4 linked regions of the Arabidopsis thaliana genome follow. The protein of the gene in region 1 interacts with the protein of each later gene in a pairwise test. Each region holds a gene or a part of one and is shown in the gene's direction. Other genes may lie near its edges.

The links.
Region 2: the proteins of NAI1 (region 1) and DRIP2 interact in a two-hybrid assay, tested with the Arabidopsis thaliana proteins (one large-scale study listed by BioGRID).
Region 3: the proteins of NAI1 (region 1) and NAC041 interact in a two-hybrid assay, tested with the Arabidopsis thaliana proteins (one large-scale study listed by BioGRID).
Region 4: the proteins of NAI1 (region 1) and TRB3 interact in a two-hybrid assay, tested with the Arabidopsis thaliana proteins (one large-scale study listed by BioGRID).

Annotation. Positions count from the first base shown.
Region 1 is NC_003071.7:9,681,078-9,688,029, forward strand, and holds NAI1 (basic helix-loop-helix (bHLH) DNA-binding superfamily protein), read left to right. Parts: upstream 1-3,484; 5' UTR 3,485-3,780; coding exon 3,781-4,260; intron 4,261-4,647; coding exon 4,648-5,061; intron 5,062-5,175; coding exon 5,176-5,244; 3' UTR 5,245-5,536; downstream 5,537-6,952. UniProt on the Arabidopsis thaliana protein: Transcription activator that regulates the expression of at least NAI2, PYK10 and PBP1. Required for and mediates the formation of endoplasmic reticulum bodies (ER bodies).
Region 2 is NC_003071.7:13,022,300-13,032,220, forward strand, and holds DRIP2 (DREB2A-interacting protein 2), read left to right. Parts: upstream 1-3,611; 5' UTR 3,612-4,144; coding exon 4,145-4,262; intron 4,263-5,681; coding exon 5,682-5,781; intron 5,782-6,205; coding exon 6,206-6,533; intron 6,534-6,678; coding exon 6,679-7,091; intron 7,092-7,196; coding exon 7,197-7,247; coding exon of another isoform or gene 7,248-7,251; exon of another isoform or gene 7,252-7,539; coding exon 7,540-7,612; intron 7,613-7,884; coding exon 7,885-8,064; 3' UTR 8,065-8,362; downstream 8,363-9,921. Other genes in the region: LGT5 (los glycosyltransferase 5), read right to left, coding at 1-7, 145-416, 643-710, 795-942, 1,019-1,063, 1,226-1,260, 1,496-1,607. UniProt on the Arabidopsis thaliana protein: E3 ubiquitin-protein ligase that acts as a negative regulator of the response to water stress. Mediates ubiquitination and subsequent proteasomal degradation of the drought-induced transcriptional activator DREB2A. Functionally redundant with DRIP1.
Region 3 is NC_003071.7:14,177,924-14,184,580, forward strand, and holds NAC041 (NAC domain containing protein 41), read left to right. Parts: upstream 1-3,054; 5' UTR 3,055-3,351; coding exon 3,352-3,535; exon of another isoform or gene 3,536-3,599; coding exon of another isoform or gene 3,600-3,612; coding exon 3,613-3,866; intron 3,867-3,955; coding exon 3,956-4,324; 3' UTR 4,325-4,516; downstream 4,517-6,657. Other genes in the region: GLTP1 (glycolipid transfer protein 1), read right to left, coding at 1-27; AT2G33490 (hydroxyproline-rich glycoprotein family protein), read left to right, coding at 5,629-5,739, 6,137-6,209, 6,502-6,576. UniProt on the Arabidopsis thaliana protein: Transcription activator of the mannan synthase CSLA9. Recognizes and binds to DNA-specific sequence of CSLA9 promoter.
Region 4 is NC_003074.8:18,485,192-18,492,371, forward strand, and holds TRB3 (telomere repeat binding factor 3), read left to right. Parts: upstream 1-3,801; 5' UTR 3,802-3,985; exon of another isoform or gene 3,986-4,171; 5' UTR 4,172-4,259; coding exon 4,260-4,409; intron 4,410-4,486; coding exon 4,487-4,701; intron 4,702-4,805; coding exon 4,806-4,890; intron 4,891-5,002; coding exon 5,003-5,086; intron 5,087-5,186; coding exon 5,187-5,540; 3' UTR 5,541-5,805; downstream 5,806-7,180. Other genes in the region: AT3G49840 (transmembrane protein (DUF2215)), read left to right, coding at 1-97, 168-313, 393-455, 527-619, 706-867, 963-1,143, 1,258-1,496; WIH3 (cysteine-rich TM module stress tolerance protein), read left to right, coding at 2,148-2,196, 2,275-2,554, 2,729-2,774; ARLA1B (ADP-ribosylation factor-like A1B), read right to left, coding at 6,070-6,187, 6,285-6,446, 6,532-6,653, 6,757-6,789, 6,879-6,974.

The DNA of each region.
Region 1 (6,952 bases):
TTTTTGTCGAAATACATTTTAAAAGCGTTAAGACTTGAGAGAGTAGTCTTAATCAATTGTTAGGTATAAATTTTTTTCCAGAATTGATAACGAACATCCATAATACAAAAAAAAAATTAGAAATTCGGATTTTCCTTATTAGAAATATTTACTAACGAACATTCATAAAACCATAACCACAGTTTTAAACTTGTGGAGATGATTTTTGTTTTTTTCATGTATATAGAAAAATTATTTGAAGGTTCAGTTTTTTAACAACATAAATTATAAACAAAAAAAAAAGTCCAGATGGTGATAGCGTGGTATAATACTAGCATAACCACAACTTAGATTACAATCTACAAATCATGTTCAATCTGACGAGTTTCAAAAATACCCAAAAGTTTTTGTTGGAAACAAATTAAGAGTGAACTGAAAATCTTTCTTTGATAATGTGGAGTTTATGTACTCCATTAAATTATTCAAACGATCCTTGTAGTGAGAAGGTTCATTCGATATTTGTTTATCATCATAAATCTCCGCAATTAATATGTAGACAATAACAATAAATAAAATTTGTAAGGAGTAACATGGAGGGTGGAGATCATTAACTGATATAAACTATAAAGGCTTTAATAAAATGGATCTCAATCTTTTCCAGAAAGAATAGCATCTTAAAGGTGGATATATCATGAAATCATTTTTACTCAATTTTGTTATATATTATTCACGAACCATTTAAATTATTTGTATTAAATAATTCAGATAAAGAGTAAAGTAATGACATGTACGAGTACTACTAATTAATCTGGTGTTTGCCTGTTTGTATATTCGTACAGATCTCAAATTGTTATTTCTTTTTTGAATTATAATTAATCAAGACGTATAACTAATACTCTCTCTGTTCATCTTAATATGCATTGCAATATGGTGCTTACACAAAAAAAAAAAAAGCATTGCAATATGGGAAAAAATTATTTATTATCCACATAAACACTGTTGGTGATAAATATTTGTTATGTATAGTAACATTGTATGCTTGAGGTACACTGAACCACATTTTTTTCAATTCACCAATTAATGATGTGAATAAAGACATCAAGACAAAAAGAAAAAAAAAACAGAAAAAAAGACATCAAGACTTCATTGAGCCCGTAACCAAAATTATCAAAACAATTATTATCCCTTCATATATGGATGTAAGTTGTATGGAAAATGATTACATTCACAACAAATGTGTTTTTTGTTTTGTTTTTTGGCAATGCATATTGTAAATTTAATTACGAATGGCATGACACATGGATGATATTTAAACAAACCACTATATCACATATGTTGTCGCTATAAAAAATATTTATTATTGGGTTAATCGATCCCAGGTCCTAGAATTAGTTTTGATCTCTTTGCTATATATAAGAACAATCGGTATATTATAATAAGAATGCATTGACCTAAAAAATACTATTAATAATAATATTAATGCAATAATGAGGCAAAACAATTAATCACACATGATTCACGAGGATAGGAAAATGGTTCCAGAGACAACTTCACAAAGAGTGATTATTATGGTATTTATTGTATTTTAATTATTAAAAAAAAAGGAAATTAACAGCAAAATCTATATTGTAAACTCACTTTACGTAGAAAAACTTCTTCGATATAATATTATGGCTTTGATTGGTAGGTTATGAGGACGTGGAAAACATAGATTAAAAGGCAATTCTAAAAAAGACCACTAAAATGATTTTGTTCGGAAAATACCATTTAGTATTTTTGATTATTTTTTTCAAAAATACTACTAAAAGATTTTTTCCTAAATACCACAAAACTAAAACTAAATATAAAATTTTCAGAATTAAATCCTAAATCCTGAAAAATAACCTTTAAAATTAAACCCTAATCCCAAAATACTAAATTCAAACCCAAAATTTTAAATTTTAAACCCCTAAAAATCATTTTTAGTGTTTGTGTTATTCTTACTAACCGCAATCCGTCTCATAACCAGTTAAGCATATAGGATATTTTACAAATTCCTATGCAATGTGAAATATAGTTGACTATTTGTATTCTGGAATCTTTTATATCATGGTTGAATTTTTAAATTAATTAGTAAAAAATAATTCTTAAAAGTGTTTTTTGGAAAAATATTGATTTTGCTAAAGTTTTTTGGAACAATCATGAATCTGCGCTGCTGTATTAATAACTTAATTAGTAATTCTATACACAAACTCAATTATAGATCTTCGATTCACAAAGAAGCACGGAAATTAAGATTGTGTATAGAACTAATCTTAATTTCATAAGTAACTAATTTATAATTAAGTTATAATTTATTCACAATCTCAATTATAAATTTGACTCAATTATAACTTAAATATTTCACCATTTATTTAATCACAGTTAATTATTATTTTTTAATTTGTCCAGACAGATTCAACGGGAGCCTCGTATTATTGCATAAACAAGTAGGAGTTATATAAACATAGTATTTTTCAACCTCTACTGGCTTTAGAATATAAATATCCAATTATCATCTATATGATAAGCGTAAAATCTATTCTACGTCACGAAGGATTGGATTTTATTGGAGTTTTCTTATAATAAAACTAATGATTTTGGACATTGATAAGCAAATTCGGATCTGTAGTGGGACCAAGTTACTTGCAATAACACGTGGGGAGTTGAGTTCAAATCTTTATATGTTGATCATTTGATGTGTTGGCACGATCAGTGGTTTTGTTTTATTTTTTGAACAAGCATCATCAGTGTTTAAAATAGTGAACATGATAACTTACTTATATCATTAGGGGTAAATATTAGCTATCAACTATCAAGTACGAGCTAATCATAAAATGATATATGAACTTTAGACCCATAATATGATATCTTCAAGACTACTTAAAACCTCAATTTTCTGAAATATACTATGCAAATACCCAAAACACTTAAACTAACAGAGCATTTACATATCCTCTTTTGCATCTGCATTTTTTTTTTTTTTTCTAATTTTGAGCATCGAAAGATCTTCGAAAATAACTTTTTATGCTCCTAACGATCGATTTTGACAATTTTCTTCGTGGTCTATTTAAATACTGCACAAACTATCACAATTTTGTCTAATAAAAAAACTTACAATATTTATCATTGTTTTCTTCCAGTTTATCCATATGTCATATGCTTTATCTACATTTAATCTAATTCGTCCACGTGATGGGCTGTGGTTTTTTTTTTTCTTACCTAAAGTCATAGACTCACAAATCTATATTTCTATCAAGATGGATACATTTATGGTACGAATCACATGATTTTGATCTTTAATTAAAGTCTTGTTAGTTTTCCAATGCCAGATCTCATCGCATCGGTGGCTACTCAAATCCCCACCTATTAATACCAATTTCAACCAAAACAATTCCCACATTTAATTATTTTCAGGACCTTTAATTTACTAAAATTTATTATTGCTAAACCTACCGGATCGGGTAAACGGATATGCGATTCGTCAGCCAAATTCATATAACAATTATAAACCATATGCTCTTTTTCCATGCAGATATTAATTGTATACTGCAAAATAATGATTATAAAAAACAAAATCATATAGATCCACTATAAAGAGTTCACTCGACCACATTCACATAACAAAACAAAATCATACATACTCCAGAACAAAGGAAAATTTAAAATATATCTCCTTATATACTCCTAAAGTTTTCTTTCCTTTAGCTTCTTGTTTAGTTTTATTCTTTCAACATTAACTTTTTTTTACTCTCTTGTCAAAAGAGAAAAAGAGTTCTTGTAATGGATGATTCAAGCTTTATGGATTTGATGATCGACACTGACGAGTATCTGATCGATGACTGGGAATCCGATTTCCCGATATGCGGGGAAACTAACACCAACCCCGGTTCCGAGTCTGGATCTGGAACCGGGTTTGAGTTGCTAGCAGAAAGACCAACGAAGCAAATGAAAACCAACAACAACATGAATTCAACATCTTCTTCTCCGTCGTCTTCTTCTTCTTCTGGTTCTCGCACGTCACAAGTGATCTCATTTGGGTCTCCAGACACGAAAACCAACCCGGTCGAGACATCTTTGAACTTCTCCAACCAAGTAAGCATGGATCAGAAAGTGGGGTCGAAAAGAAAAGATTGTGTTAACAATGGAGGAAGAAGAGAACCACATCTATTGAAAGAACATGTTTTGGCTGAACGAAAACGTCGACAAAAGCTCAACGAGCGTTTGATTGCTCTCTCTGCTCTTCTTCCTGGCCTCAAAAAGGTCAACATCTATAAACCATCTCTTTCTGATTGTACTTTAACTATTTGTGTTTGGTTTAATATTTATTATATAGTATATTCTTTTATAAATAACCCACCAGAACCGTAAATATATATTCGGAAAAAGAAACTCATTTTTCTTTAAATGTAAATGTAAACTCCAACCTCAACAAACATAAGAAAATCTTGTTCTTATTTACATTTTGAAAATGAAAATCTGTTTTTTTTCTTAAACGTTTTTTTTCTCGTAAAAATCGTGTTTAATATGATAGGCTTGTAATTTGTTTGTATGTGGATGCCACTACTCATAAAATCCGGATGGTGACACAATGTTCTCTAGTAAATATTGTACTAAATGTTTTTTTTTTTTTTGTGTGTGTGTGTGTAGACGGACAAGGCAACAGTTCTTGAAGATGCCATCAAACATTTGAAACAACTTCAAGAGCGGGTAAAGAAGCTGGAGGAGGAGCGAGTGGTGACCAAGAAAATGGATCAATCAATTATATTGGTGAAGAGATCTCAAGTGTATTTAGATGATGATTCTTCATCTTATTCTTCTACTTGCTCTGCTGCGTCTCCTCTGTCTTCTTCTTCGGACGAAGTTTCGATCTTCAAACAAACAATGCCTATGATCGAAGCCCGAGTTTCAGACAGAGATTTGTTGATTAGAGTCCATTGTGAGAAGAACAAAGGGTGTATGATTAAGATCTTAAGTTCCTTGGAGAAGTTTCGTCTTGAAGTAGTCAATAGCTTCACTTTACCATTTGGAAATTCAACTCTCGTTATAACCATTCTCACTAAGGTATGTTATCAATCTTCTAATATTTTTTTATTTATCATATTCTATCTTTTTTTATATATTATCATTTACTGTTGATTTTTATGTATTAATGTGATTTTTAAATCTAATTTGCAGATGGACAACAAATTTTCTCGACCAGTTGAAGAAGTGGTGAAGAACATAAGAGTTGCGTTAGCTGAATAATATTTTAAAAAACGTTTATGTGAATTTCGCAGTGGTTAAACGTGTTAGATTTGGTCTCCAATTTTGACCAGATCACTCGGTTTAGTTGAATAATGAGTAGTTGGATAATAAAACCAGATATATGCACGAAATATGGGATTTTGTCGTTTGTTGAGTGCAAAAGCTGGATTGGTGTGTGTACCTAATTATGGCTGTATCATTGGTTTTGATACTTTGATATATATTTTTCCCCAATATCATTGGGTTGGTTCAATAATGAAGTACCTAAGTGTTCATTAATTTTATTGGCTTCATGTTAATTACTTTTTGATTATACTTAATCTGTAAATCTTTAACTGAGAACGAGAAATCTATGCTAACTATATTGGGACTTCATGCTGCTATAAACAAATTTCATTAGAAATTCTTTTTGTGTTCTTATAAAAGTTTTGAGTTCAGTTGACCTCTATGGGCTCTTATAAATTTTTATTTACTTGTATTTTGAAATAAAAATGGTTACTATAGTTACAAATTTGCTTATTGATCTCAGTGTTCAAGATTTATATTATAAATTGTGAGATATGATTTTCTCCCATTCCCATTTTGATTGGTCGACCAAATGCCTTGTTTTTAAAGGTTATGTAAGTATTACTTAACAATATTTTCGTCCTAAATCTTCCACTTTTTTTTCAACTACACATTGATTAGAGATTCATTTTTTGATTGGTAGCCCAATCAAAAAGAGAAGAGTTTACATAAGAATTATCAGAACTTAAAGATTTAGAAGTCTTAGCTAAATAATCAATTTGAAAATTACAAGAGCGAGGAATATTAGAAAACGAGAAAAAAAAACTTAACTTGGAGCGAACCAAACTCATCTAGGATTTTGAAAAAGCGGGACATTTCTGATGAGATTGCAATATAGAGAAAGTAATTCTACACAATCTATTTCGAAAACATGACAATTTACATTTTTTGAGAGAATATTCTTAATACAATCCTCCATTTCTTTTTACAATGAAAAATTGAATCATTGCTTATTTTCAACATTAATCACACATTAATTTTAATCTTATTATTTTATTTTATACTTATCTTCTATATCAATCTTTAGTATTGATAAATTTTATTAATTGAAATTTATTTTTTATTTTTAAATTTTATATACCTTTTCACATTGTAAACAGTGCTTAATTAATCAACGAATGAGCTGTTAAAAGAAAATGATAAACAAGATTATTTTAAAATAGATTTAATACTTTAAGAAATATATGTCTAGTATTTTCAAATATTTAAACCAAATTTTCTTTCACTAAACAAATTTTTTTATAAGACCTACAAATGGTATCTATTTTGTATACAAAATAGACACAATTGTGACCCCACTAAGAAATAGACATATAGAAAAGTTAATACTTGTAGAATAGTTTGTCTTTTTGCTATAAAAATATTAAAATACAATAGCGACCCCTTTAAAAACAGTGGTTAGAGGAGGCACTAGTTGTAGTTATAAATTTTGAAACAATTTATTGTGTCTTGCGAGTGGGCTAAAAATTAAAATTCCCCCATTAGACAGTGATAGGAAAAATATTTAAGACATAAGTTGACTAACAATAAATGTCATTTAAAGAAAAAATAATGGGTGGGGAAATCGTTAATTTTTAATCAACAAAATTGTAGTGATCTTACTTCCATCGGGGATTCTTCTAGAAATATACTGAGAAATGTT
Region 2 (9,921 bases), 3.3 Mb from region 1:
AGGAGAGCTGAAAAGAAACAAAACATTTATGTATGACTCTTCTAAATTAACACAATATTCATTAAGATTTAGCTTCATAAGTAAAGGCCAAAACTTTTTACAGGATGGAACAGGACTCCCTTTGAATCAATCAGCTGTGCTCACCTCTTTGGCAAATATTTATCCTTGGTAGTATCACCAGTAGCCCGTTCCAGCTCTTTCGTTCGAACTCTCAACTCCTTTACGATTTGGGAGTTATTCCCAGGTAGGGCCAAATTCAGATAGGCTTTCGCTTGGATAATTTTGTCTCTGATCTCCTTTACCCTCTCATCTGTTGCTCTTTCAAGTTGAACCCTTGTATTCTTTTCACTCTTACTTGAAGGGGGTCGGAATTCCGTTTTATGATTAAGTTGAATATCTCTTGCTGAAATTTTCACCTGAGACAGGAAATGGAACATACATTACAAAATTAAAGCATATGCTATGACTATCTGGATGCAAATTCTAAATTCGATTTTCTATTAACAAGTGTTAGCAAATCCCATTGAAGAAAGTGTCCTGTGATTTGACAAAAAGATACTAGAATTCTCATAGTCAATTGCTTCTAACTAATCCATAATCAAGTTCCTTTTATCTTCAAATCAACTGGATTAAACTACGTACCTCCGCATTCGAGCTTACTGTGGTTTTCTGTGAAACTGCTTGTTCCTCCTTTGGTTTGTGATTATTTCCTGAAATACATGGTATCTAAAGATAAGAAAGCTTCCCCGATAATGACAACAAAACAAAATAACACAAGATCCGAAATATATTACCCTTATCAACTTCTGAGAGAAAGTTTTTTTGGTCTCCCTCATTAGACTGCACAGTATCATTACTTTTATCAGAGGAATTTGACAAAACCACAGAATTAAAATCTCGATCCTGCAGAATACGTTTAGGCTCCTTCAAGCCTTCTTCGTCCTGAATTACAAAGCAACCACACTTCAACAAAATGAATGCTTAAACAAAGTTTATGGAATGCTTAAACGAACAGAACCTGTTCAATAGCAGTAAGTCTAAGTTCATCCTCGGTCTTATCTGTCTGCAGAATAAAAGTAGCAGCATCTCAGTTGTGCATTCTCGAGAAAATGAATAGGATAATACGCAACGCTACGATATAGAATCATTGCACAATCAAACAGCAATACTGAAGAGTTCCTGGTGAGGATTAGAACAGAAGGATCTAAGCTCAGGATATACGTACAATGTCGGATAATTCTTCAATGAATTCTCCTCTATCTGCCAGAAAACAATCAATAGACAAAATCAAAACAGCTTTCAGAAGCGTAATCCAAAAGCTGAGACTAAATCAAACAAAGGTAAATCCAGTAACGAATTCCAGAAATCTAATCAACGCAATCTGCAATCAAGTAACAACTCTTCACTATACTATCGCCATATCCATCAATCTAACATCCCTGAGACCAAAATTAGAAAGCGAATTGAAGAAACCGCAGAAGTAGAAGAAGCTCACCGACGGAAGTGATGCTCTTGAGCCGATTCGAAACGAAAACAATCGGAGCTAAAACAGATAACAATAGCAGCGAGAGGATCAGAATCCTCTGCCAACGACGAACTTGATTCATCAATGTGCGTAACTTCTCAGAGAACGCTTCATATATTTTATCTCCGTTGCGCTTTAATCGTTCTCCACGAAGAAGAAGAAGCACATTCCCAGAGGGAAGAACACAGATCTCGGAGATTCTCTGCTTCTTCAACAAGCAATTGAAGAAAACGATGAGCAGATTAGGGTTTTCAGATTCTTCTGCAATAGGATTCGATAAATGCGAGAGTCTGTTTCTACGATTTCATATCTGGAGATTCAGAGCTTCCTCGTGCATGTTTAGAGACTTCTGCTCTTTTATTTTTTTTCGCTTAACTCAGATTTTTTAATATTTATAAATCAATGTATTTATTTGATTTTTATACGGAGAGGATTAATGTTGAGATACAGATATAGTGCGGCGCGGTGTACATGTGCTAGCAAAATTACTAGTTTACTAAGATTTGACTTCTTTTGATTGGCTTAGTGGAAATTCTCCCAAGCCACCATAGATGTTTTGACACGTTGATAGAATGTACTGTCAATGATTTTCAAGAGTGGGAAATTCACAGCTTTGTACTTTGGAGTTTGGAGGAACAACTGGAATGTTTGAGGTCGAATTTGGGAATTGAAATTTTTAACCCCTGGATGAGTTTATATTTGATTGATCTCTCTATTATGGGGTGTTGAATGTTATTTACAAAAAAAAAATAGTCATTGTTTTATGGACGAATAAATTATCTACTTGTCGTTTTTTTACCGAATAACGCATAAATTAGATTCAATACGGATAATTCCTAAAATAAAATAAAAACGGTTAGTTCTTCTAACATACGTTACTATAACAAACGTACTTGACGAGTTGGCATAAAAATGTATTTCTACTGTTTTAAAAGTAACGTACGATTCGTCTTGCATACTGTGACGAAATATGTAAATTCTTTTGTCGCTTAGTGATGATGTGAATTATTTTGATTCATAAAGTAGAAACTCGATACATACCTATTAACTAAACATGTATTATGTTGTGATTCATTTTTGCCTAACAAATAAAATTTATTAGCAAGAACCATTAAAATTTCATACTAATTTTGGATACTAAAATGTTAGATTGATATATAAGAAAAGTATATACTCAAAAAGATTTAACAATTTACCAATATTTAGTATTGGAATCAGTGTAGTGTTTGTTAGTACATGCTTTTCTACATTTAGAAACAGTTAAATTATAATTGCAAAAGGAAGCAATATTGAGGTATTAATAAGGTTTTACACTTTTACTTCAGCTAGCTTTGAATTTTAGAAGTTTTATGGACTATTAAATTATCTACTTGTCGATCTTTCATAAAAACTGTTGGCTCTTGCGAGAGATATGTGACCTTCCAATTGATCGCGAAGTGATAAGATGTATTCGATTTTTTCAGCTTATGCCATTTTTACAACTTTTCGGAAAAATGTTTCAAAATATCCATTATGAATTTGACATCCAAGTTATAAATTAGATAAAATTTACTTGAGATAACATATGGACATATAGATTTTACTTATTTATTAGAGTTCATTAACGAAAAATTATTGAGTTAAATATAGACATCTTTAAACTCGTTAATTTTAAAAAGAAATAATAAACAATATATATATATATATAAATATTTTATTTTCAAATTTTATTTATTTAAAGGGTTTTAATTTTTATTAACAGTTATAATATTTATGATTGTTTCCGGTTACTTTGATGCTATTTTCTCGTAATTCCCTTTTGTACATATATATTTAGAACCAAAAATTCAATCATTGAGAAGCATACTCTCTGTCAAGTGTAATTGATTCCTCCTCTTCATTTTTTAATTCTTCATTTCTTAAGTTTTATTAATTAATTGACTCACCTCTTCATCTTGTTTATTTCCAAGTAATTTTCCTAATGATGTCAATAAACAAAAATAAAAAGATTAAAATCACGCAATATCAGTAAAAAAGGAGAGAGGGTTAAATCGGTGGTGGACTTTGCAGCCCTAAACCATTGTTTCGCCTCGGAAAAGCCCATTTACACAATTGGGAAATAAATAAAAACAGAGTAAAGAAAGGAACGTCTTTTACTCTTTACGGTATCGCTCGCTTCTCTTCTTTCTCCTCAACACGAAGACCCCTCTTGCCTCTTTATTAGAGAGACCCCTTCCTTCTTCTTCTTCACCTTCACCTTCTTCCTCGATTCAGATCGTCTCCTCCTCTGTTTTATACTCACCCTATTCCTTCGAATCTCTCTCCATTTTTATCCCCAGATTCTCCCTTCTTCAACCTCGTCGACTCTTCTTCATCACTCTATTTCTTCCGATTGAGACTTCTTTCACTCTGATTTTCTTCGACCCTTTACGGATATATTCGGTCTTGAGTCTCCATCGGATTTGGATTTGAATGTAGGTATCTCGCACGAGAGTTGTTGTTTAACGTAAATCTGGGTTCTTTTTTTTGGTGGGTCGTTGTTTTTCTTCTACATGCAGTTTTGGGGATAGTACGTGCGATTCATCGATCAATCCTCGTTTAGATAGACATCAAGGATTTAAAGGAGTCGTTAAGAGAGCAATGGAAGGAGACATGGTGGCTAAAGTGAAGAGAGAAACGGTGGTGGCATGCATGACTTGTCCTCTCTGTGACAAACTCCTCCGTGACGCCACTACCATTTCAGAGTGTCTTCACACGTGTTAGTTCCTCTTTCCCCTTCTCGATTTACGTTTCGATTCGATTTTACCCGGTTTCTAATTTTCGCAATTTCTCGTCTTTATCGTCTTCTTTGATTGGTTCTCTGTTGTGTTTTTTTTTTCTTCCTCTTGCTGATTTGGATTGAATATCTGCATGATTCTTGTTGTTAGTCTCGTATGCCACTTATGATCTCCTCTATGTCTCAGTCGATTTGATGAAACTCGAGTCAATGAATAGTTTTGTTTGGTTTTCTCAACTAAAGTAATAGTTGTTGTTGAGCAGAATTTGTAATCTTTGTTTACATTTAGACTGCAAGAATCCTCCTTTATTCGTCTCTTTAGGTAAAATTTGTGAGTGTCTTCTTCTTCGTCAAAGATGGTTTGGTCAAACTCATGACGTCCAAATTTGGTTTTGGCTAATCATGTTGTTAGTTAGATTCAGTTGCTTTGTTATATCCAACTTGTAAGTTTTGTGTTAGGAAGTTCGAGTAACAAGTGCTTTAATCTACTCTCATCGGTTTAATGTAAGTTAATATTTGGATTAAGTAGCATTTATCAGCCTCTTTCTTCTACATGATATTATACAATTAAGACAGTTTAGATCATTTTCTGTTTGGAATGGCTTAATTTATTTCTTTTAACATACAATCCAGATTAGTAGTGAGTTTTCTGCATGTTGAAGTATTTGCTGATCTCTGTAATTTATTCAAATTTAGTTTATATTCCTTTTGGAGTCTAAATCAATCTACCATTCCAAGCTTTACACAACCAATTCTTTGTTACCGTTTACGGAGAAATATACCTTGTTACTCTGTAATTATTTTACTCATTCCATCTGATTTTAAAAAGGTAAATGTTAACAGTTCGGTTCCGTTGTACAACTGACCAACTGCTTATCTCAATTTAATAAAATTTTCAGAACGCCCTGCAGAATCTCTTTTTGAGTTACTGCAGTGCCAAAATTAGGTGTTAAATGCTTCACGGTTTTGTTTCTGGGGATGAATGCAGTATCCCCATCAAATTTGTGATTCCATCTCTTTTGTTTAGGTTGGTAGCTATGGATTTTCTTGATTTTAAAACCAAACAGTATGATGCTCATTAACCACTTGTCTACAAGCTTCTGCCATGACAACTAATATAACTTGATGCAGTAGAGACCATACCAATTATCGGCCTTGCTATAATGGATTTGGTGGAAGGAGTCCGATAATCTAACTTGCATCTAATAAATTCAAACTTGGCAGCGAGCCAACTTGCATTGAACCTCAAACATTATGCTATTCATTCTTTACTTAAACTTTTGATCTGAGAAATTGTTTGTTTTTATGTAAGTTGGTCGCCTTTATTACAAAAGATTTTGTTCTTACTTGATAGTTACTATCTATTGAAATGAAACAAGTTCTTATATCACTTTTATGCAGTTTGTAGGAAATGCATTTATGAGAAAATCACAGAGGATGAGATAGAGAGCTGTCCAGTATGCGATATTGACCTCGGGGGTACCCCACTGGAGAAACTAAGGTAAGTTCTTCTTCTTCTTTATTCCTTACACAATTTTCTCCTCGGTCTTGGTTTAGCAGTGATTCCTTGTATAGACTGTTAGAAGCCTTTTGGCTCTTACTGTTGATGAAACGAAGTTTTCTTACATAATGCTGAAAAGTTGTACATGATTATGCTGAGGTGTGCCACATATGGAAGGTTCTTCCGTAATTTTTGTGGCATAGTGTGAAGTTAATCAAGAAAAGTCATTTCGATTCAGAAGCAGTTATGACCTGAATATGTTGGCTAGTTTAATACTTTCGCTGACACCAACAATTTTTTGTTAGAACCTGAAACAAATCTCTTTAGTACTACACTCTCTCTTACTAGTTGGTCACCAGTAAGAGCTTTGTTGGTGGCGAACTTATTCATTTTCTAAAGAACCACTCTTATGTATTTATTTTAGGCCTGACCACATTTTGCAAGACTTGAGAGCCAAATTATTTCCTCTAAAACGTAAAAAGGAGAGAGCGCCTGAAGTTGTGTCCTCCATCTCATTACCTGCAAAGAGGAAGGAGAGGTCTATCTCGTCTTTGGTGGTAAGCACACCCAGGGTTTCAGCACAAGCTGGTACAACAGGAAAAAGAACAAAAGCTGCTACGAGAAAAGATGTAAGAGGTAGTGGTTCATTCACTAAGAGAACAGTGAAGAAGGAAGAAGAATTTGGAGATGATCATGTAGAGAGCGCAAGCTCGCCTGAAACACTTAAAAAGTTTACTCAGAATAAAAGACAGGTAAAGAAGGTGATCATTGCAGTTCTCTCTTTACCTTTATGTTTTACTTTTTCTCTTTACCAAGTCCAAACACAACGTTATGACTGATTATGGTCTTTATATAGTTCCCCATACATTTATTTATTTATTAATTCTTTTTTTGCAGTCTTCATATGCAAATCCTAACCAGTCCCTCTCTAATCGAAGAAACAAGGATGTTGATGAACCATGGGATTCCAAATTACATCTTTGGAAACCTCTAAATTTTCTTGTGGATGTGGCAAACGGAACAAAGGACCCAAAATCTGAGCTTGGAAACGCATCCCACAATGATGTTCAGGGGAGTAAAACCAAAACAAAGGATCATAAAAGAAAGTGTAAACTCGAGGAAGAGATCAGCAATAACGGTGATCCTACAACATCAGAAACTGCTACACTTAAACGAACGCGTCGGACTCGTCGCAAAAGGTCATCTACTTTTGGTGATTCTAGAATTCCACTGTTACCAGGTGCAGCAAGCCTAAAACAGGAGAGGAGAAACGGTCATGTTTGGTTCTCACTTGTAGCGTCAAGTAATCAGTGAGATTCCTGTTCTGTATCTGAGACTCTGAGTACTTCTGATATTCAATATTTTCTGTGTCTTTTCATTTCTATCTCTTAGTGACACGGCTTTACTGGTTTCAGGGAAGGAGAAGCATCATTGCCTCAGATTCCAGCAAACTACTTGAGAATAAGGTAAGTTGTTCTTTTTGCTTTGCTCTGTTTCTTGTCACTAAGTTTTTATATGTCAACTGTGAAGTCTGTGATCAAATATTACTTATTATTGCATTGATGGCTTTGAATTCGATTTCGCAGTTGTTTTACCCGAGTTTCCATGTCATGTTTGTTTTCTGTGGTATACGTTTCTTGATAAAGCCTTCTTCTTTTTTGGCCCATCACACCTAATCCTTGACTGGGAGGTGTCTATTTTCTTGTTTGGGAGAATTATATTGTGCCAGAGTTGATCCCCTGTCTCATTATATGGTAGGGATGGAAATATTCCAGTTTCTTTTATCCAAAAGTACCTCATGAGGAAGCTTGATCTCAAGAGTGAAGATGAGGTAAGCAATCTTATCTTATGCAGTGGCTACTTTTCTGTTTTATATGAGGTATCCACTCGGTCTAATATGGAATCACATAGACCGTAGTTCTATACATTGGTTCAAGTCTTGTGCTTATCAATATGACTGTAAGGTCCCCATAAATGTTTAAACTAAAGTTAACTCTCCCTTTTATTTCCGACTTGTGTACCGGGTGATATCTTATGATCTGGGACTTTTTCGACCCACCGGTGTTGAACCTTAACTACTCTATGTTTTTTTTTTGTAAACAGGTAGAGATAACATGTATGGGAGAACCAGTGATCCCAACGTTGCAGCTTCACAGCTTAGTAGACCTATGGTTGGAAACAACTTCTAAGCATCAAAGAGTCGCTGCGTCAATAGGTTCATCTGCAAAGGAATTTGTAATGGTGCTAGTTTATTCTCGGAAGCTCCCTGAATGCAACAACTAAAGAGCTATTCATTGAATCTTTTCTAGACCGAGAAGAAAGAAAAGTGCAGGAGCAGTGGAATGTCTTGTGTAGAAAGAAACTTAGCAATTTATATTTATTTAATTGTAATCTTAAAATTTGAAACATTGGTGTGAGACAGACACTTTGTTTGTTTATCCAAGAAGATTCAAAAATGGCTTTTTAAAGGAGATTGTGTCCTTTTTGGATATTTGAATGTATGATTAGGATAATGTTGTCATTTCTATAAATATTTGTTTCCTTGTTTGGACTAAATGGAGAAGTACACGGAATCCTTGTGAATCGAATGACTTAGCCATTATTGAGAAGTCAAAAGAAAAATAACCAAAAAAAAACTTGTGAAGTGTACCTTTAATACAAGAATTAAAGAGAGATGTATAAAAGTTTTCTAACAATTTTGTTCACCAAAAAAAAAAGTTTTCTAACAATTTTTAATACAAAATGCAAAATTAAAGATGAATTTTCTTATTTCTTTTTTTAAAACATAATTTTGAAGAAATTTGGTTGTCTTTTTGCATTTGTTTCTAGATATTTCTAAACTGTTGGGAAATAAAAAAATTTGCACACAAAACATAGTTAAATTCACGTGGTATTTATAGAGATTTACTTCAACCAAATTTGGATTTTGGGTCATTGTTTTATGGACGGATAAACTATCCATTAGTCAAATTTCCACAAAAATAATATGTGAATTAGATTCGACAAGGCTAATTCCCCCACAACATACGATACTAGAACAAACGTACTTGACTACTTGACGTAACAATGTTTCTCTTACTGTCTTGAAAATAACATATAACTCGTTCATCACCAATTTTCTTGTACATGATTGATTAAGTGTGTAAGCATCTTTTTCGATTAATGATGATGATGTTAATTGGAGAAACAAATTTTTCATAAATTCCCTTATAGACAAAGTCTTATAATTTTGTTAAATTCCGCATATATTTTACCAAAACTTTGTCGAATGGAAAGACACGTCAAATGTGCTAATTAGAAACTGTTGTATTGAGATTTCAAGAGGAATCAATAATAAGGTACTACTAGGGTTTTATTTCAATTAGGTTTGAATCTTGGGTCATTGTGACGAATAAATTATCTACTTGTCGATTTTCTACAAAAAGCACACATGAATTAGATTCAACGTGGCCAATTCATCTAACATATGTTACTAAAACAAGCGCAATAGACGAGTTGGCGTAATTTTATTTTATACTATCTATAAAGTAACGTATGATTCGTCTATCACCAATTATCTTGTAAATGATGGTAAAATGTCTAAATTCGTTTGTCGCTTAATAATGATGATGATATACGTTACTTTAATTAAAAAAAGCGAATTTTCGATAGATACTCTATTAACTAAGCATGCACATATCACGTTGTGATTGATTTATGCCTAGTAAATAAAATTTATCTCCAGCAAGAATAATTGAAACTTCATAACTAATTTTGAATGCTAAAATGTTAAATTGATATATGGGAAACAAGTTATGATACTCAAGAAGTCACCAATATCTAGTATTGGAATCGCTGTGGTGTTTGTTTGTAGATATTTTTCTACATTTAGCAATGTATTACATTATGATTGCAAGAGGAAGCAATATTAAGGTATTAATAAGGTTTTTACTTTTACCGGGTTAGAATTTTGGGTTTGTTTATTGGATGAAGAAATTATCCACTTGTCGATCTTTCATAAAAAGCACACGTGAATTAGTTTCGACATAGTTATATAGTTCTCCTAATATACGTTATTTGAACAAGAATACTTGACTAGTTGATGTAACGATGTTTTCTTAACGTTTCAAAAGTAACGTACGATTCTTCCATAACCAAATG
Region 3 (6,657 bases), 4.5 Mb from region 1:
ACAAGGCGTGAACACAGTCCCTTCCATTTTTTCAAGTTTGACTTATCTGAATATGAGATCAAACACTGAAGAATGAAGATAATCAACATTAAACAAACCCAAAACTGAGAAACAACATGAACAACACTGAGAAACACATTAACTCAAGCAAAAAGGTAATGAATTGAATCAAACATGAAAGTCACTTTGTAAAAATGAGTCAGCTCCATAAGGAAAATTGAAACAGCCAACAATCTCTCTACACATGCAGATATAGAACTATTTAAATCAGCTCCATTACAGTGGAAATCCAGAACAAGAATCATAAAAATGGCATCAACCGAATCGATACAGAGATCTAATTTCAATTGGATCCACCAATCAAGCAAGAGCATCAAAACAGCGTGAGAAGAAACAATAAAACAAGACAATTATTCGAGATCTATTGATTCAATGGACGAGAATGACGAATCTAAGGCTGATCTCTAACGGGGAAGGAGAAAGATCGTACCTTTGCCTGAGAATTGAAAAAGGTGGGATGGATCAGATTCTGCTACTCTGGGATTGTGTTCTTCGCTCTCTGGAGTTAGAAATTTCTCTTTCTCTTTAAACGGCTCTCGTTTTAGAAAATAATAATTGTGTTAAACGCCTAAAACGTAACGGAAGTTTCTGAAAAGCCCTAACATTTAGTATCTTTCAATTACACCCATTTCATAGAAAATGTAGAAAACACACAGTTTTATTACATGCTTGTCCTGCGGACCGGTCCTGACATATGAAGTTACATTTGTTGTTGTAGGTGTTTCATCTTGATATATGAGATTCTCAAGTGGATAAAATTTGAAACCAAACAAGGCTTTATACCGAATTTTTTTAGATAACAAAATAAAAAGTGAAGAGATTATGTCGGGTCAGTTGGGTCTATAGTACTCGAGTATTGCCACATAATAGTTTCCATTTCGTTTGTTGATTTTCCAATCGCTTGGTCAAAACTTTAGCATGTTAGTTCATTATCCATAGATTCTAGGGGTTGGTTTGTTTTCATCTAATTAAGACCGTAACTCAAATAAAATGATAGTTCACTTTGATAATATTTTGTGAAATTGTAATAACCTGGATTAGTAGAAATATCCTGGATTAGTAGAAATATAAACGAGTAATTGACTATCACAATAAAGCTTAACAAGCCGAGTGAGTAACAAGTATGAGCAAGTAAAGTATCATTTCTTGACATGTAATTTTCATTTTTCGTAACTTTCTCTACAACCCAATTATTGACCGCAACTAAAAATAATATTATGTTGAGACATACAACAAGAACATATGGAAGAGAAAAAAAAAAAAAAAAAAAGTCGATATGGATTTCGTTGACGACAAATCCACATTGTATTATTTGGACAAGAGACATGACCTTTACCTTCTCCTCACGCAACCGGCATTTGTTGAAGTCTCCCATTGTCCCTCCTTTGGGCCCTACCTTTAATGCCAAACTAACCCATTGTATTTGGTATTCTACATAAAAGTTGTACACTAATGTACGATACGATTCAACTACATTAACCGTATGTTAAATTATATAGTATTCACTTGTTGATAAATAAATTATGTTTGAACACAACAAAACTTAGTTTCTATATCCGCTGCTGTTTTGTTATAGTCGTCATTCGTACGAGTAATTCTTTATGTTCCGCACTAATCACGCTTCTTTTGTACCACTTAGTATGTGATTTTCTCATTCGTGGTCTTTGAATTGTATTAGAGGCAATTTAGTCTTTTGTGAGATTAGGAGGTGTGTACGGAAAAGTGTGTGAGACAAATGAAGTTAATGTGGAGGAGATCTATAGTGGGACAAAGCAATTGAAAGTCGCTTTAGAAGCAACTAAATGCCCTCTTGACTTCTCCATTCTCCTTGCGATTTACGCATTTACCTAATTGCATCTTTTACTTGTTTAGCTTGTTAAGTTCTTCTACAACATTACCACTTTTGCTCTCTTAAGTTATTGCAACTTGACAATTTGTTATACCCTTTATCAAAAAAAATACCTGGCAACTTGTTTGAGCTCCTGAATTAATCACATCTCTTAAAAGACGTTTTGCGAGTATAACATGAGCTTTTCTTTTTATAGATTCATTCACCAATCAAATATAAAAACTATAACACAATTAAAATGCCATGTAGCTAGGTATATTAGCAAGTCGTAGAACAGAAATGGAAAGACTTGATGAAAGCACGTCAATTCAATTTCATCTCCTATAAATAAATTGTTGTAGGAAGCCAACCGTTTTGGAATTTCTTTTCTTTCGTTTTACGTAAGACTATATAGATTCAATAACGTGTTGGTTTAGAAACCCATACTTATAATGGTTGACAAAAAGAAGAAAGAAAAAAATATAAACATATACGCTAAAAGTGTTTACCAAATAACAGGGTTATGTAATTTATTATCTGGATTAGGAAAAGATGATTGGACCATGCGATGGAGTAGAGGAATCTGCAGGGCATTTGTCACTTTCATGGACCCCATGAAATCACATCTCTTTTAATTGAATAATCGAAATCCAGTTGCATACGCATCTTTGTCTACGATTGGTCGTAGCACATATACGACATATGCCATAACTACAAACTAACTTAATCTTCTAATAATATTGTTAACGATCGTTAATACTAAAAATTACTAATATATTAGTCGTGTTATCTATGTGTTATGAGGTGTGTTAATTGTTGATGCATAATGAATGAACATGATCTCTAATTTGTTTACCTCACACTATGTGATTCAAGGGTGGAAGTCGTTGGTTAGCAAACATTAGTGTCTCAGGACAAGATAGCTCAGGACAAGATGTCCGAGCGGTTCAGAATCAGTAATGTTTTTTTCCGGAGACTCTACTCGTTGAGTTTTTGCTTGTACTCCCTGGTGTTTGTGTTGTGATGTAGTTTTGTTGTTTTACTTAGTTTTTGATCTTTTATGTAATTTGTATTTCGCTGTAACTTCGGTAAAAAACTTGTGAAAATAGTATAAGTACTTAACATTGATACAAAAAAAAAAAAAAAAAAAAAACTCATGAGGTCTTGTTATATATATGGTGATCACATCTTTAAAGAAAATGTTATAGTATTTGTTTTAGTTTAAACAATTTTTTATGTGCCAAAAACATTATTAAAAAGAGAGCAATACCCTACTCTAAAATAGTAAAGCTACCAAATTCAATTCATTACGACATGGCTCAAAAGAAAAAGTATTTCGAATATTATACGATATCAACCCCATTATCATTGCTATAAAATAAGCCAAACTTTACCTCTCCATTTTCAATAATCTCTCATCTTCTTTCGTCTCTCTTTCTACGGTTCAAACATTAAAAAGATAGATGGAGAAGAGGAGCTCTATTAAAAACAGAGGAGTACTTAGATTACCACCAGGGTTCCGATTTCACCCGACCGATGAAGAGCTAGTGGTTCAATATTTACGTCGAAAAGTAACCGGTTTACCCTTACCAGCTTCTGTAATACCGGAAACCGATGTTTGTAAATCCGATCCATGGGATTTACCAGGTACAGAAATTGAAAAATCTACTCTAGGGTTTCATTCAAATTCAATATTTGATGGTGTATATGCATGATGATCACAGGTGATTGTGAATCAGAGATGTATTTTTTTAGCACGAGGGAAGCTAAATACCCGAACGGAAACCGGTCGAACCGGTCTACCGGTTCGGGTTATTGGAAAGCGACTGGTCTCGATAAGCAGATCGGTAAGAAGAAGCTTGTCGTGGGGATGAAGAAAACTCTTGTTTTCTACAAAGGTAAACCACCAAACGGAACAAGAACTAACTGGGTTCTTCATGAATATCGTCTTGTTGATTCACAACAAGATTCATTATATGTAAGAGAATCAAATTCAAATAAATTAGATTCATCAATCAGTTGGATAAAAACTTGGCTAAAAAGTGTATTTTAATGTGTTTTTAAAAGGGACAGAACATGAATTGGGTTTTGTGTAGAGTGTTCTTGAAGAAGAGAAGCAATAGTAATAGTAAGAGGAAAGAAGATGAGAAAGAAGAGGTGGAGAATGAGAAAGAGACAGAGACAGAGAGAGAACGTGAGGAGGAGAACAAGAAGAGTACTTGTCCCATATTTTATGACTTTATGAGAAAAGACACGAAGAAAAAGAGAAGGAGAAGAAGATGCTGTGATTTGAATTTGACTCCTGCTACTTGTTGTTGTTGCTCTTCTTCGACTTCTTCGTCGTCTGTTTGCTCAAGTGCTTTAACTCACACATCTTCTAATGATAATCGTCAAGAAATCAGTTATCGGGAAAATAAGTTTTGTTTGTTTCTATAGATTAACAAACTTGGGAACAACTTCTATTAACTTTAATAAATTAGATTATGATTGTTTCCAAAGTTAATTATGCAATCCAGGAGTCTTTCTTGGTTTTGGTAATTAATAGCCATATTTTATAGCTTATCTAATTGTATCAAATATTGAAAACTGGTTGATCAAATATCTAATTTGTTAATGAGTGTCAATTAACAACAAGGACCAACCATCTAGCTAACAATTCAAGCAATCAAATCAGAGACTAACACTACATTAAAGATCACTCTTACAAAAAAAAAATGTGGAACATTTTTTTATAGAAAAAATCATATACCCAAACAACACAAATTCATTTATTTTGATATCTGAAAAAGCATTATATGTTAAAAATAGAAAATGCATAATGATTATTTCTTTCAATTGTTGGGTTGTTTCTAAGTTTTTGGACAACACTTTTTTACCCATACTGTAAAAGATCACAACATTGATAAGAAAACTCTCATGTCTGGTTGAAATAAATTAGTAAAAGGTTAGAATAAATTGGTTTAAAGGTAAATTAATATTTTAGTTTTGGCACAAATTAACAAATCAATTAATTTTTGTTTATTTTTAACTAAAACATCATTGATTATCTATCTATATCCGATTCAACCAATATAAAATAATTTATCAAATATAAATCACCCAAAATCAATAATAAACTAGATAATTTTGCAATGGAAGTCGAAAACATCATCTCATTTAAAATTCCAAAAAATCAAATAAAGGAATATTAATATAACATAGACAATTTAGTATGATTTTGGTTTTAGTTAAACATATCTTTGATCTTCAAATTTTTTTTATTTTTTTTTCGGTTTGATTGAAACTTACTTTTATAGTTTGATTTTCAGATTGATTAAGAATGAATCGGTTTGATAAAACTCTAATGTAAATGGAGTAATTATTGTAATATTCAAAAGCCTAAACCATTTGCTGCCATCATTAATTGCACTTGCTGACGTAATTATAAGCGAGAATAATATGATCCCAAAAAGAAAATTGATAAAAAGGACGAAAGAGAATCAAAGAGACGACGAAGTCAAGGATCAAAGCCTTAACTTTTCCTCTAAAACAATCGCTTTTTTATTTTTCTAAATTTCTCTCTGTTCTTTTTTCCTCTGGTTTTGATTTTTTCCTGGCATTATTATTAGGGTTTTTTTCATACGTTGTTGAAAATGGCGTAGTTGGAGAAAGGAGACGAATCGATCATCTACCTACTTGCCCATTCTTTGTCGTCGTTTTTCGATTTTCCTTGATTCGCCGGAGAAATAGCGTTTCCGGCAATGAAAACCTCTCTCCGACGGTTACGAGGTGTGCTTCACAAGCATGAATCTAAAGACCGGAGAGATCTTCGAGCTCTGGTTCAGAAAGATGAGCTTGCCCAAGCTTCTCAGGTACCAATCTCTATCTCACCAATTCGAATTTGGACTGTTTTCGTTTTTTCGTTGTTAGCTGTTTGATGATGAGGCGATTCTCAATCATATCGTCGCTCTAGGTGGAATTAGTTTCCAATTTAAGTTTAGTGACAATGATTTAGGAAACGGTGATGATTCAGATATTCACGAAAATTGTGGTGGATCTAGAGCTTCCTCGATTTAATCTGAGCTTCTCTGTAGCTTTTACGTTTTCTTTATCTGGTTAAGTTAGATCGTCTCTTTCACTTGACCAACCTAATTGAAAGGTGGAAGGTGCTTAGGTGTTTCAATTTACTGCTCTCTGTTTTACGATGAGATTAATGAGATGTTGATGTAACTGGTCTCACATTGTTTAGCTTGTTTGTTATTTTCGCAGGACGTAGAAGACATGAGAGATTGCTATGATAGCTTGCTCAATGCCGCTGCTGCTACTGCCAATAGTGCTTATGGTAATCTATTGTTCCTTTTCCTTTGTTCGGATAAAAGTAACCCAGCTAACTTCATAACTTTACTATTCAGAATGGTGGTTTTTCAGTTTGATGTATTCTTAAGTTTAGATTTAATACTTGTAGTTTTGCATTCTCATTTTACTGGTTCAAACGCATAGGTCTATTATTGAACTGTATTGAACCTTCAGTTATAACTCTTGAGTGAATCTCTTGCATCCCAATTTATGGAGAGAAACATCTTCTTGTTAATAAATATATATTCTTATCATTTGCAGATTTCGTTTGCTTGCAGAATTTTCTGAATCTTTGCGAGAACTAGGTGCTTGTCTTCTTGAGAAAACTGCGCTAAATGATGATGAAGAAAGTGGTAAGAATTTTTTGAGTCTTTGTCAAACAGATTCGTTAAAGATATCATATTATATCTCATCTTAATGTTTAAACATTTGAA
Region 4 (7,180 bases), on another chromosome or scaffold:
GTTGGGATAATGTCACCTTTTGACTATAAGATTCTTGATATAAGAACATTTGGTGGCTCATCTAATGTCAGCACCGTGGAGTTGGTTGCTAAACAAGGTAGAGTGCTTGTGTTGTTTTGTGTTTTGCAAAATTCTAAAACTAAACAAAGTAGAGTTTGTATTTGCAGAGTTTTTCATATACCGGATTGTGTTTTTAATCATGGGGATAGTGTTACTGAGTTTGGCTTCTAGACTTAGCAAATCAGTTGCGTTTTACTATATCGGTGCAATGTCTATTGGGATTGTCATTCTTGTAACTCTTATCATTAATCAGGTAAAAGTTTTCATAACGCTATCTTTTGTTATATGTTTCATGGTTTTTTCTCTGGTTAACGTGATAAACGGTTGTGCAGGGGATAAAGCGTCTACCAACTAGAGGGAAGAGTCGTTTTCAGTTATTTTTCTACTCGTCTATGGTGAGAGTTGTCTTCTCTTTGAGTTCTTTTGTCGAACATGTACTAACCAAAGCCTTCTTTTATATTCTCAGATTGGTGTGGGAGGTTACTTTCTTCAATACATACGCGGTTTAGTTCAAGATTTGCTAATGCAGATAGAAATCAGTGAAGATTTGTACATCCCTGTATGTAAGTTTTGGTACTTGTTGTTATGTCACATATTCATATTCTGGTTTGATTAATCTTAAACGGCTTATGTAAAATTTTGCAGCTGGCGATTCTTTTGGTTGTGTTTGTATTTATGTTGGGAGCGTGGTCAGGATTTTGGACTGTCAAGAAATTTGTTGTGACAAAAGATGGTTCTGTTGACATTAGTACATCAATCTTTGTCTCTTGGTCCATCCGAGCTTTTGCTGTGGCTCTGATCCTTCAGGTACTTCGTTTTTTCTCTGCTTTTGCTTCTGATTCATCTTTGATTATAACCAAACCTTTTGGTGATTGAAGTCTTGATCTTGTGTTAATTAACAGAGCTCTTTAGATCCATTACTTGCTGGAGGAGCGTTGATAACTGGAATTCTCATCTCATTGATTCTAAAGAGTATTAGCAGAAAGCTGTTAGCTCAAAGAATATATGAGCAAGATGATGAAACTGAGAGTTGTAGCCCCGGCTTGATCCATGCTACCTCGTTTGCTTCTCCTCTTCCTAGAGGTTTTGATTTTTTCTCTTTGTGTCTCTAGTGGTCTGATTTCTTTATACTAGTCCCTTTATCTCGTAATGTTGTTCTTGAAGAACCGGTTTTTCTTCTGTAAATGGTTTTTGCAGGTTCCAACAAGAAGTTGAGGACAGTACCATTATCTGAGTCAGATATCTTTCCTTCTTCATTCCACAAAACACCAGAAGGGAGAAGGAAGCTAACGAAGGAAGAGTTGCAAAAATTCACTAAAGAGAGCACGGAAAATGCATTGAAGGAATTGGTTTCTTCACCTGGTTTTGGCGAATGGGCGGTGAAAAATGCTAAAAGAATCACTGTAAATCCGATAAAGGAATCGTCAAGTAAATAGGGTGATACTGTTAAGCGCAGAAGAAGGTTCCTCTGGTTCTGAAAAGCAAGCAGCTAGGGGAACTTCTGAACCAGTCGGAGAGTGTAGTAGGTTGCTTGTGAACAAAGCAACAAGCCTTGCTTATATATAGTCTTCTGGAAAAGAACTAATGAGCAAGGCGAAAAAGTTGAGAGATTAACTTCTAAATCAACAAAATGTAACCTTTGACATAAATTGATATTGACCAATAAGATCATACGTTTCCATGTGTGTAGTCATCAATGATGTGAAACTCAATACTATAGTGTATTTTATTTGAATGGACGATGATAGTTGGTATAATAAAGGAGGAAATAAATAAAGTCATCTTTTTGTTATTTAACGGCTGAAATTTCAATAGCAATTTAATTTGAATGATTCCAGTTCCACAAATATGAGTTGGTCATCTATATCACATGTAAGTTTTCTTAGTTATATTTAAAAATCATTAAAATCTAAGAGTAGTCCTTGGAGAGAACATGTCTCTTGTCTCCTAAACCTCCTTTATTATCCATCATCATTGTCACTAACCCTATTATTATTCCATTCACAGCGAAGAAAAAGAAGCAAAGAGTTCGTTATAAAGAAAGAAATAAACCCTCAGATAAGAGCATAACAGAGAAGAAGAAGAAGATGTCTTATCAAGACCCACAACATCCCGTTAGTGCTCCTCCTCCTCAAGGTAATTCCCAATTTTTTCCAAGTTTTTAGGGTATTTTTGTTTCTTGTTTCTTAAGTTTCGATGTTGTTGTTTTGTCAGGGTATCCTCCTAAGGAAGGATATCCACCAGCAGGGTATCCTCCACCAGCAGGTTATCCTCCACCACAATATCCTCAAGCGGGATATCCTCCAGCAGGTTATCCTCCACCGCAGCAAGGATACGGTCAAGGATATCCAGCACAAGGCTATCCTCCACCGCAATATCCTCAAGGTCATCCACCACAATATCCTTATCAAGGTCCTCCACCACCGCATTATGGTCAGGCTCCACCGAAAAATAAGAAAGATAAGAAGGATTCAGGAGGCTTCATGGAAGGATGGTGCGTTGACCAATTATCTCTCTCTTTTTATATTAACATATAGTTTTGAATACTTGAAGCTGATGATATACCTTTTTTTGGTTCATTATTCATAAATTTTGGTATGGAGTAATATGGATATTCAAAGTCTATATGTTTGGTACTTATAAAATGTGTATTTGTTTTGTATTACAGTTTGGCTATGCTCTGCTGTTGCGTTCTCTTGGAAGCTTGCTTTTGATCGGAAGATGAGCTGATATTTGCCGTTGACCGTCTTGAGGATGCTATTCAATTTTGTCAAACATGTTAAAAAGACGTGTTTGATATACATTTTAGATCTCTTCTTCTGGTTATGTGTGTCCACGTTTTGGGTTTGTTTCTTTAATTTTCTTTAATTTTATGAATGAATCCGAATTTGACTTGAGGTCTTGTTTACTTTCATGACTATTGATTGATTCAGGGTATGTTACCCATCTTTTGTATATGTGTGTTTTATCTTTTGTATAAAAGCCATTCATTCTTTCCAACTAGAGGAACACAAAAAAAGAAAGCAACCCAATTTTGTTCTCTTTCTCATCAAAAATGTAAGAAGAAGTGACTGTATCAACGTGATCAAAACTTAGCATTACCATCAAACTTATATAAATTTATACTTACGGTCCGATATATTTCCATTTTCCGTCTCAAACATATATGTCACATCCACCATTCCTCGGTTGATCAACTATTCAATGTACAAATTTTTATAAAAATACTACTAAATCGTATATAATCTTGAGTCTTCACTTCTTATATTTAATGTAAGAGAGTGGTTTAGTATCCACCGATTAACTCGGTTCAAACCAAAAATACACCAAAATGATATGACTGAATTGTGAAATCAGTCCAAGAACTAAAAGTCGATGAGCTCGGCATCGACCTCCATGAAGATAAGGAAAGATTCACTCAAATCTTAAGAAATAATACGGTAAAGAATATTAGACATATTCCCATCCGAAAAATAAGAAGCTCGATGACCAAACAAAAAATCCGTAATTCTATTTTCGAAAACCCTAAATTTATTATATTACTAAAAAATCTCTTGTAATTGTCAAGTTTACTCTCAAAAATCATTTTTCTTGAATCTCTTGTTTACTCTAATTTCTACTTTGCTTTTACTCGCATTGTTAATTTAATTTCATAAATTAATCCCTAATAGATCAAATGGGTGTATTTTTGCAATTATAAAGTTTAAGACGAATTTGTAAAAATGAAGATAATAAAGGGCTCCCAGTAAAGCACCTCAAAATCGATACATACTTCATCCTCCAACATGCGTAGGTGAATCGAAAGATTAAAGGTCAAATTTTTGTGTCTTCTCTTCCTCTGTCTCATGCCACAATTTTTAGATTTCAAACTTTGATCCATGACACTCTCCATAGCTTCCTCTCTCATTCCCTTCAGCTTTCTCAGGCATGTCTTCTTCTTCCTCTTCTTCTCCTTGTTAATTTCCCCATTTCCCTGATCGAAAGCTTTAATCTTTTTCTCGTGCGTGTCTTCGTAATCTCTGGCGTTTCTATTGAATTACTAATGCAATTGAAAAACTTGGGGATTTCATTATAAAGTATTGATCTTTGTGATGTTTTCATCTGTTCACAGAGAATTGAAGTCGAGACATTAGAAGTGTTTGTTGTGTGTGTGTGTGTGTTTCTATAGAATTTTTGAATTTTGTGATAAAATTGTGTGAATGGGAGCTCCAAAGCTGAAGTGGACACCAGAAGAAGAAACAGCTCTTAAAGCTGGAGTACTTAAACATGGAACTGGAAAATGGCGTACCATTCTCTCAGATCCTGTGTATAGCACAATTCTGAAGTCTCGTTCTAATGTGGATCTCAAGGTAAAAACATCAACAACTTTAAAGTGAAGAGAGATTATAGAAAAGTTCGAAACTTATACTATTGTTGTTGTCTACAGGACAAATGGAGAAATATAAGTGTAACAGCTTTATGGGGATCTAGGAAGAAGGCTAAGCTTGCTCTTAAAAGAACTCCTTTGTCGGGTAGTAGGCAAGACGATAACGCTACAGCTATTACCATTGTGTCTTTAGCTAATGGTGATGTAGGAGGACAACAGATTGATGCACCATCTCCTCCTGCAGGTTCTTGTGAACCTCCAAGACCTTCTACAAGGTTTGGTCTCTCTTCTTGTATTTGTATGAATTCTTGATGCTGTGAATGTGGAATATGGGAATAGTGAGGAATATAATAGGCTTGTTTTAATGTGTTTGTTGTAGTGTGGATAAGATTATATTGGAGGCTATTACCAGCTTGAAGAGACCATTTGGTCCTGACGGAAAGTCGATCTTGATGTATATAGAGGTACAATGAAGTTTTCCTTCTGTGTTTATTCGTTGTGTCTGTAAATAGTTAAGCATTGCTTACTGCATCTATATACAATCATCAAGGTCTTAGTGTTGCTGTAAATTTTCAGGAGAATTTCAAGATGCAACCGGATATGAAACGGCTTGTGACTTCAAGGCTGAAGTATTTGACAAATGTTGGAACATTAGTTAAGGTATAAAGAGAGATACTTTGATCGAAATTTCCTCTTGCAAATGTCACAAATTTAGCACTGACTTAACAATGGTTTTCTTGCGTTTGTTCTCACCTTTCAGAAAAAGCACAAATACAGGATTTCTCAGAATTATATGGCTGAAGGAGAAGGACAAAGGTCTCCTCAACTCTTGTTGGAAGGAAACAAGGAAAACACTCCGAAACCGGAGGAGAATGGCGTCAAAAATCTTACTAAATCCCAAGTAGGTGGAGAAGTTATGATAATGGGTATGACAGAAAAAGAAGCTGCTGCAGCAGCTGCAAGAGCTGTGGCAGAAGCAGAATTTGCAATGGCAGAAGCTGAAGAAGCAGCAAGAGAGGCAGATAAAGCAGAAGCCGAAGCTGAAGCTGCCCATATTTTTGCAAAAGCGGCGATGAAAGCTGTGAAGTATAGAATGCATAGCCAAACTCGGTAAGAATTAAGAAAATCATTGATGTTGTATCGGTTGATATATCTTCAATTCTTCATGTTATGTCAAGTTTCGATCTTGCATCGAAATCAACATTTTACAATCGCCGCAGTGTTTTTAGTCAGTAACAGTGTCTTCTAACTCAGATGATTATGTAAAACCTGTTCCTTCTCTTGCTTCTGTTGATCTGGTTTTGTTAGTAACTTCACAGGTTTCTCGTGAACCATTTTGAAACTGGTTTGAAAAGATATAAATAAGGCCTTTGATTTGTATACAGAGCTTATTTCCGTTTCCTTGGATTTTTAGAAGTTGAAAAATTGAGACACTTATGTTTTTGTTGCAAAGCCTTAAGAATAGAAAACAACCTCTTGAGCAAACTAGACCAGACCAGACCAGCAGGTGAGACAGAAGACAAATAAAGACAAACTCTTGTTTCACGCGAAATTAGTTCAAGACTCATCATCATCATTAACCAGACAACAGAGGACGAGTAAGAAGATCAAGAAGAGAGAACATATGATGTTCTTGTTGAAGTTTAGTTCTTTGATTTTGAGTGATTTACAAGCCAATCAGTGAGCTGATCAATGGTGGTAGGGTTCTTGCAGGATATCATGAGACAGCAGACTTCTCTACTTGTAACCGAACTAAGCCCCCTGCAACAAAAACAAGGCAAGAAGCATAATCAGATCGAGCTAAATGAGATGCCTTTAGTGCTGTTTTTGGAGTGTTCAGATGAATAAAGAGCTATACATTTCTTCTGTCAAGGCTTCTTTGGAAAGAGCTCCATGTATGTCAATCTTGTTCCCAAGAACCAAAAGAGGAATACCAATAAGCGAAGCATTGCTCAACAAATCATGGAGTTCACTTCTCGAGACACTCAAGTTTTCAGTATCTGCAGCATCAACTACGTACCTAGAAATTGGAATCAACATGAAACCAAGTTGTGAATAAGCCAAGCAATAAAGATAACAGAGAAACCTGCCTCTAAGATCCTTACACAATCATAGAAACAGCGCGACAGTAACGTTCCCACATGCAGCGGAATCTTGGTTGACCACCAAGATCCCATAGTCTGATTGCAACATTTTCTTTTGTCACTTTCCTCATGTTAAACCCGACCTGATAAACCCACAAAGACGAATCTCTTCATGTTGTTCCAAAAAAAAAAAACAGGTTTTGGATCGAAAACCGTATTTGATCAAAGATGCAGTGTAACAATTACCGTAGGAATCATGTCTTCACTGTATTCACCAGTCTAAACAAGTAAAAAGACATCATTATATCCCCAACCACCATCATATAAGTGTTAAAGAGATTATCAAAATGGAAGCATAGTATACTTACTGCAACAACATTAACAAGTGATGTCTTTCCTGAATTTTGAAGTCCTACCAAAGAAAGCTCCATTTCTTTTGCTTGAAGATTAGGCTGCAAAGTCATATTGATCGAAACAAACAAATGAATAGGTCCTCCTCAAAATGTCAACTAAGAGAAGAAGAGAGAGCACTAAGTTATTGTCTTTTTACAGCGAATCTATAATTTTATATTTAGATAGTTGAGGCAAGTAGCTACTTTATTTTTGTTAGCTACTTTATATTTGTTCGATATCTAGTTTCTATTTCAGATATACAATAACCAGAGTTAAG